Anolis sagrei: one gene and its partner. The protein of the gene in region 2 interacts with the protein of the main gene of each other region in a pairwise test. Links are inferred from orthologs where the notes say so. Each region holds a gene or a part of one and is shown on either strand. Other genes may lie near its edges.

Region 1 (3,600 bases), on a different chromosome or scaffold from region 2:
AGAATTGGACACAATATTCCAGATGTGGTCTAACCAAGGCGGAACAGAGCATGGGGGGCATGACTTCCCTGGATCTAGATACTATGCTCCTATTGATGCAGGCCAAAATCTCATTGGCTTTTTTTGCCACCACATCACATTGTTGGCTTTTAAGTTCTTTGTCCCACCCCAGTCATTCCACAGATATATAAACCCAATTTTCCTAGTTCCAACAGACCTCACAACCTCTTAGGACGCTTGCCATAGATGCAGGCAAAATGTCAGGAGAGAATGCCTCTAGAACATGGCCATATAGCCCGAAAAAAACCTACAACAACCCATTCATTTTGTTAGTTTTGGCTCAGCTCTTTAATCTGTTAAGATCGTTTTTAATGTTTGTATGTTGTGGGTTTTAGATTGTAATTTGTATTGTCTTGAGTATAGTAAATCGCTTTGAAGTGGGGAGGGCGGTTTCTGAAGAGAACCACCGCTGCTTTCCTTTCCTAAAGAGAATCACTCTGAGGCTGAGAGGAGATATGATAGCCATGTATAAATATGTGAGAGGAAGCCACAGGGAGGAGGGAGCAAGCTTGTTTTCTGCTTCCTTGGAGACTAGGACGCAGAACAATGGCTTCAAACGACAAGAGAGGAGATTCCATCTGAACATGAGGAAGAACTTCCTGTGAGAGCCATTCAGCAGTGGAACTCTCTGCCCTGGAGTGTGGTGGAGGCTCCTTCTTTGGAGACTTTTAAAGAGAGGCTGGATGGCCATCTGTCAGGGGTGATTTGAATGCAACATTCCTGCTTCTTGGCAGGGGGTTGGACTGAACATGAGGAAGAACTTCCTGTGAGAGCCATTCAGCAGTGGAACTCTCTGCCCCGGAGTGTGGTGGAGGCTCCTTCTTTGGAGACTTTTAAACAGAGGCTGTATGGCCATCTGTCAGGGGTGATTTGAATGCAACATTCCTGCTTCTTGGCAGGGGGTTGGACTGAACATGAGGAAGAACTTCCTGTGAGAGCCATTCAGCAGTGGAACTCTCTGCCCCGGAGTGTGGTGGAGGCTCCTTCTTTGGAGACTTTTAAACAGAGGCTGTATGGCCATCTGTCAGGGGTGATTTGAATGCAACATTCCTGCTTCTTGGCAGGATGGCACATGAGGTCTCTTCCAACTCTTTGATTCTATGATTCCAACTTGAGTCTGAGAAACCAGTCACGCCTTTGCCCTCCTTTTATAGCCTTGTTCATAAACAAGCCCCGCCTCTTCCCAGTCTGTCAATCATTGACTTGGGCGGGAACTTAAAAAAAAAACTGCCCTCCTGGAAAGGGGGCGGGGCTCCTGCTCGCCCTCGCGCCCAACGGCCGTCGCTGCTCGGTACTACGCATGCGCAACGGGCGACACTCCCCTCCTTTTTTCCTTTCCTGTGTGTGGAAGGTTTCTTCCCCCTCCCGGCATGCCTTGCGCGGCAGAGGCGTTGACGTCACCGCCTCCCGCTCCTTGTCCGCCATTGGAGATCAGGGAAGAAGGGGGGAGGCGGGATTAGGAAACGACGAGAGAGGAATGTAAACCCGGGAAGAGGCCGAGGAGAGAAAGAATTGAAGAAGCGGAGGAGGTGGAGGAGGAGTAGCGGTTGCTTCTTCTTCTTGAGGCCTTGTCTGTGTGGAAGAGGAGCGATGTGAGAGGAGAGAGAGCGCGAGCGCACGAAGGAGCTACTGCGCCTGCGCGCGGCCTTCTCCCTCCTCTTCCCTCCTCCCTTTTTCCCTCCTCCTGGCTACGCGCATGCACCACCTCCCTCTTCCTCCCCACCAGCCACACACACTCCCTCCTCCCGGGATAAGCCCAAGGCGGGAGGGGGGGAAGCCCGCTCGCCCACCCACGAGGCGCCCCACTCCCACGCAAGGCCTCGCCCCCTCCTCCTCCTTCTCCTCCCCCTTCCCCCCTCTCCCTCCCCATATTTCGAGGCGCATGAGAGATGTCTGCCACCAGCGTTGACCCCCAGGTAAGTGGGTCGAGCTTGGAGGGGAGAGGAGTCTTGGAAATGTGTATTATTTGGGGGTGGGTGGTCTTCTCCTTCCAACAGGGCTTTGATTTTTTCTTCTCTTTCCTGCCTGGCCAAATAAGGTTGGGCTGCTTGGGCCTGCCACACAGCTGAATAAAACCCCACATTTTCTGCTTTGAACTGGGATATATGCCAGTGTGGACTCAGATATCCCATCAAAGCAGATATGGTGGGATTTTCCGCCTTGATATTCTGGGTTATAGGGCCCAGTGATATAACCCAGAAAATCCCACGATATCTCCTTTAAACTTGGTGGCCTTCCAGACAGGCCCAGTATCCCAGGATCTGATCCCATGTTATCTGTTCATCCCAGATTATCTGGCAGTGGTGGCTCATATAATCCAGTTCAAAGCAGAAAAATGTGGTATTTTATTCAGCTGTGTGGAAGAGGCCTCAGAATATCAAGGCAGAAAATCCCACGATATCCGCTTTAAACTTGGTGGCCTTCCAGACAGGCCCAGTATCCCAGGATCTGATTCCATGTTATCTGTTTATCCCAGATTATCTGGCAGTGTGACTCGTATAATCCAGTTTAAAGCAGAAAACCTGGGATCAGATCCTGGGATATAGAGCCTTTCAGGAAGGGCCCTGGGTTATATGAGGGCCCTTCCACACAGCCATATAACCCAGAATATCAAGGCAGAATAACCCAAAATATCTGCTTTGGACTGGGTTATCTGAATCCACACTGCTATATAATCCAGTTCAAAGCAGATAATGATGGATTTTATTTAGCTGTGTGGAAGGGGCCTAAAATGTATTGCAATGTGGATTCAGGGCCCTTCCACACAACCATATAATCCAGAATATCAAGGGACCCAATCCACCATATCTGTTTTGAATTGGGATATATGGCAGTGTGGACTCAGGTACCCCAGTTCAAAGCAGATGTTGTGAATTACCTGCCTTGATATTCTGGGTTATATGGCTGTGTTGAATGGATCCCAGTTATGTGAGTCCACACTACCATATAACCCAGTTCAGAGCAGATAATGTGGGATTGTATATAGCTGTGTGGAAGAGGCCTTTGATTATAGAGATGGAAGCAGCCACAAGGGCCCTCCAGTCCAACCCCGTGTGGAAAAATATCACCCAAACACTCCTGACCCAGCCTCTGCTTAAAAACCTCCTGGGAAGGAGACCCCACCAACCTCCTGGGAAGCACATTCGTAGGCCCCTTCTACACTGCCATACAATCCAGATTATCAAAGCAGATAATCCACATTTGCTTTGAACTGGATTATATGAGTCTACACTGCCATATAATCCAGTTCAAAGCAGATGTGGATTCTATATGGCAGTGTTGAAGGGTCCTTACTGTCAGGAAAACCTTCCTTATTTTTAGGTGGCATCTCCTTTCCTACAATTCCAATCCATTACTCAGTGAGAGTAGGACACAGGAGAAAACAAGTCTGTCTCTTTCTCCTCAATGTGACATGGCTTCAAATATTTAAACATGGTTCTCCTGTCCCCTCCCATGCCTGTTCTACATAGTTGAAAAAAATCCCACATTTTCTGCTTTGAACTGGAATATATGGCAGTGTGGACTCTGTGTTGATATTAT
Region 2 (3,951 bases):
CCAGTGGGATCCTCAGAGCTCGGGATGCTTGTCTATTCTTAAGGTGTTGAACATGGATGGAGCAAGCACACTCCCCTGGGGCAGGCCATTCTTCTGTTTTTGCCATCTGCTTCTAGATGCAGCCAAGGGTCCAAATCCCCACTCAGGCAGAATTGATTTGGAATTAAAGACGGCCCGGAAGCTTCAGCTAGTCCAGCGCGCGGCAGCCATATTACTAACAGGAGCGGGACGCAGGGAGCACACAACGCCCTTGTTGTCCCAGCTCCACTGGCTGCCGATCTGCTCCCTGGCCCAATTCAAGGTGCTGGTGTTGGCCTACAAAGCCCTAAACGGTTCCGGCCCAAAATACCTGTCTGACCGCATCTCGGCCTACGAGCCCACGAGGACCTTGAGATCGTCTGGGGAGGCCCTCCTCTCGATCCCGCCCGCCTCACAGGCACGCCTGGCGGGGACGAGGGAGAGGGCCTTCTCGGTGGTGGCCCCCCGGCTGTGGAACACCCTCCCTGTAGATATCAGACAGGCGCCCTCCCTTATGACATTCCGCAAGAGACTAAAGACGTGGTTGTTTGAGAAGGCGTTTGACTAAGTGCTACAACAAATTAGCAATGATGATTGGAACGGAATATGGATAACGAGATTGGATTGTGATTCTACGATGAGACGTCGCGAATGACTTAGTGTAATTGTATTATTGATACCGATGTTGTTATTGTTGTTTATGATATTGCTTTTTTGTAAATTGTTTTTTATATGTTGTACACCGCCGTGAGTCGCCCTAGGGCTGAGAACGGCGGTCTACAAATGCAGTAAATAAATAAATAAATAAATAAATTAGGAATGGTGGGAGTTGGAGTCCAAAACACCTGGAGGGAGGGCCCAAGTTTGCCCATGCCTGATCTATTACTATATCACTGCCTCCTGGTCCTTTTTTCCTCCCCTCTGTGTTTTTGTCTGGATGCTCCCCTGCAGTGCCAGGCAGCCGCCCGCTAGATGGCGCGGCAGGGGCGGAGGTGAAGATGCCACAAAAGCGCAGGCGCGCCGGGCGTGACGTCGTCGCCGTGCGCGCCCCGGCTCTCTTTCTCAAAGATGGCGGCGCCCAGCCGGCTGCTGCAGGCGTTTGTGGCGGGCGCGCTGTGGCCCAGGCCCGGCCTCGGTGGGGGAAGCGCTTCTGCCGCTGCCGCTTCTTTGTGGCGGAGGGGCCTCTGCGAGCAGGCCTCCGGGGCAACAGCGGCGGATGAGAGCGACGGGGAGAGCGAGGGCGAGATGGGGCGCGTGGGTGAGCCGCAGGCCTGTAGTTGTCCTTGTGCATGATGGGGGGGGGGGGAGGGCCTCTCCGTCTCTTGCTTGGAAATAAGCCCCGGAATTGAGCCTCACGTAGAGAGAGAGAGAGAGAGATCAAGGGCATGCTGTATAGACCATATAGCCATTGTTGTTCATTCGTTCAGTCGTCTCCGACTCTTCGTGACCTCATGGACCAGCCCACGCCAGAGCTCCCTGTCGGCCGTCACCACCCCCAGCTCCTTCAAGGTCAGTCCAGTCACTTCAAGGATGCCATCCATCCATCTTGCCCTTGGTCGGCCCCTCTTCCTTTGGCCTTCCACTTTCCCCAGCATCATTGTCTTCTCTAGGCTTTGCTGTCTCCTCATGATGTGGCCTAAGGACTTCCGCTTTGTCTGTAGTATCCATCCCTCCAGTGAGCAGCCGGGCTTTACTTCCTGGAGGATGGACTGGTTGGATCTTCTCGCAGTCCAAGGCACTCTCAGCACTTTCCTCCAGCACCACAGCTCAAAAGCATCTCTCTTCCTTCGCTCAGCCTTCCCTAAGGTCCAGCTCTCACATCCGTAGGTGACTACAGGGAAGACCATGGCTTTGACTAGGCAAAGGATCCTTGTTGCCTGTCTGATGTCTCTACTCTTGACTGTTTTATCGAGATTGGACATTGCTCTCCTCCCAAGAAGGAAGTGTCTTCTGATTTCCCGGCCACAGTCTGCATCTGCACTCATCTTTGCACCTAGAAATACAAAGTCTGTCACGCCCTCCACGTTTTCTCCCTCTATTTCCCAGTTGTCAATCATTCACTTAACTAAAAGGCATGAATTTTGACTAGGCGGATCTTTGTTGCCAGTCTGATGTCTCTACTCTTCACTAGTTTATCGAGACTGGACATTGCTCTCCTCCCAAGAAGTAAGCGTCTTCCCGGCTACAGTCTGCGTCTAAAGTAATTTTTGCACCTAGAAATACAAAGTCTGTCACGGCCTCCACATTTTCTCCCTCTATTTTCCAGTTGTCAATCATTCTTGTTGCCATAATCTTGGTTTTTTTTATGTTTAGCTGCAACCCAGCTTTTGCGCTTTCTTCTTTCACCTTGATTAGAAGGTTCCTCAGCTCCTCCTCGCTTTCGGCCATCAGAGTGGTGTCATCTGCATATCTGAGGTTGTTAATGTTTCTTCCATATAGCCATACAGCCCGAAAAAACCTACAACAACCCACTAAGACATGGTTGTTTCAGCAAGCGTTTACAAATGTAGAGTAACTGACATAGGAAATGGAATCACCTGACAATGGAATCGGACAATGTTTTTAACTAGGAGACGCTAATGATGTTGGTTTTATTGTTTCGGTTGTGGTTTTATATTGTTTTTAATGTTTAATTTGTATGTGATAATAATAATAATAATAATAATAATAATAATAACCTACAAGAAGCACTGCCTGAACCAAAAAGTGGGTGGCAGAAACAATATACGAAAGCTGACTGGCACAACCGGGGAATCACAACCAGACACAGTGAAGACATCTGCCTTTGCGCTGTGCTACTCTGCTGCTGAGTACGCATGCCCAGTGTGGAACACATCTCACCACACTAAAACAGTGGATGTAGCTGTGAATGAGACATGCCACATTATCACAGGGTGTCTGCGCCCTACACCACTGGAGAAATTACACTGCTGGGAGAGGTCATCCCGAGTTTTGGACTTGGGTGCCATCTCTATGCAGATGACGCGCAACTCTACTACTCTTTTCCACCTAACTTCAAGGAAGCCCCTAGGGTGCTGGACGAGTGCCTGGCCACTGTGGCTATCTGGATGAGGAGGAACAAGCTGAGGATCACTCCCGACAAGACAGAGGTCCTCCTGGTCGATCGTAATCCGGATCGGGGTATAGGGTGGCAACCTGTGCTGGACGGGTTTGCACTCCCCCTGAAGTCACAGGTCTGCAGTCTGGGTGTCCTGGATTCATCACTTACGCTTGAAGCTCAGGGGTCGGCGGTGCCGCCAGACTCGTGTGCCAGCTGCGACCGTACCTCGTGAAGTCAGATCTGGCCAGGGTGGTCCATGCCTTAGTCACCTCCAGATTGGATTACTGTAATGCACTCTACGTGGGGCTGCTCTTGAAAATGGCCCAGAAATTTCAGTTGGTACAATGGGCGGCAGCCAGGTTGCTAACTGGTGCTTCTTACTGTTTATTGTTTATTTTTCTTTTGAGATTTATTTTACTGTTTTGTATTGATTATTTTGTTATTGCCTTTGTTTTATTAATGTACTGCGGGCTTGGCCTCATGTAAGCCGCACCATGTCCCTTGGGGAGATGGTAGCAGGGTACAAATAAAGTATTATTATTATTATTATATTCTGTTGAAATCTAGCTGAGCGTCTTAATTGCTGCACGGACCATCTCTGCTTACTGAAACTTCTTTTCCCATTCAAGGTCTCATTACCCTCATTAACTCCTGCACCTGGTAACTATTGTCAAGGAAGAACTATTTCACTTGCATATTCGCAGATGCACCAATTCTACAACAGTTTTATAAGATGGTCCATTGACCCATATTAGAAGTAGGCATATTGGGGGAAAACACGTGTGAACATGCACTTTGATTTAAACATCTGACCGCCTATTGTACAATATGAATGCTCTTTGTTGTGTTTATTTGCATGCTTTGTCTCTTTG

The links.
Region 1: the proteins of DHX30 (region 2) and YTHDF1 interact in a two-hybrid assay, tested with the Homo sapiens proteins (2 studies listed by BioGRID, with this or other methods). The link is inferred for Anolis sagrei from reciprocal best matches to the Homo sapiens genes DHX30 and YTHDF1.

What each region holds. Positions count from the first base shown.
Region 1 is NC_090024.1:235,215,828-235,219,427, reverse strand, and holds the start of YTHDF1 (YTH domain-containing family protein 1), read left to right. Parts: upstream 1-1,421; 5' UTR 1,422-1,949; coding exon 1,950-1,976; intron 1,977-3,600.
Region 2 is NC_090026.1:130,717,990-130,721,940, reverse strand, and holds the start of DHX30 (ATP-dependent RNA helicase DHX30), read left to right. Parts: upstream 1-1,069; 5' UTR 1,070-1,086; coding exon 1,087-1,276; intron 1,277-3,951.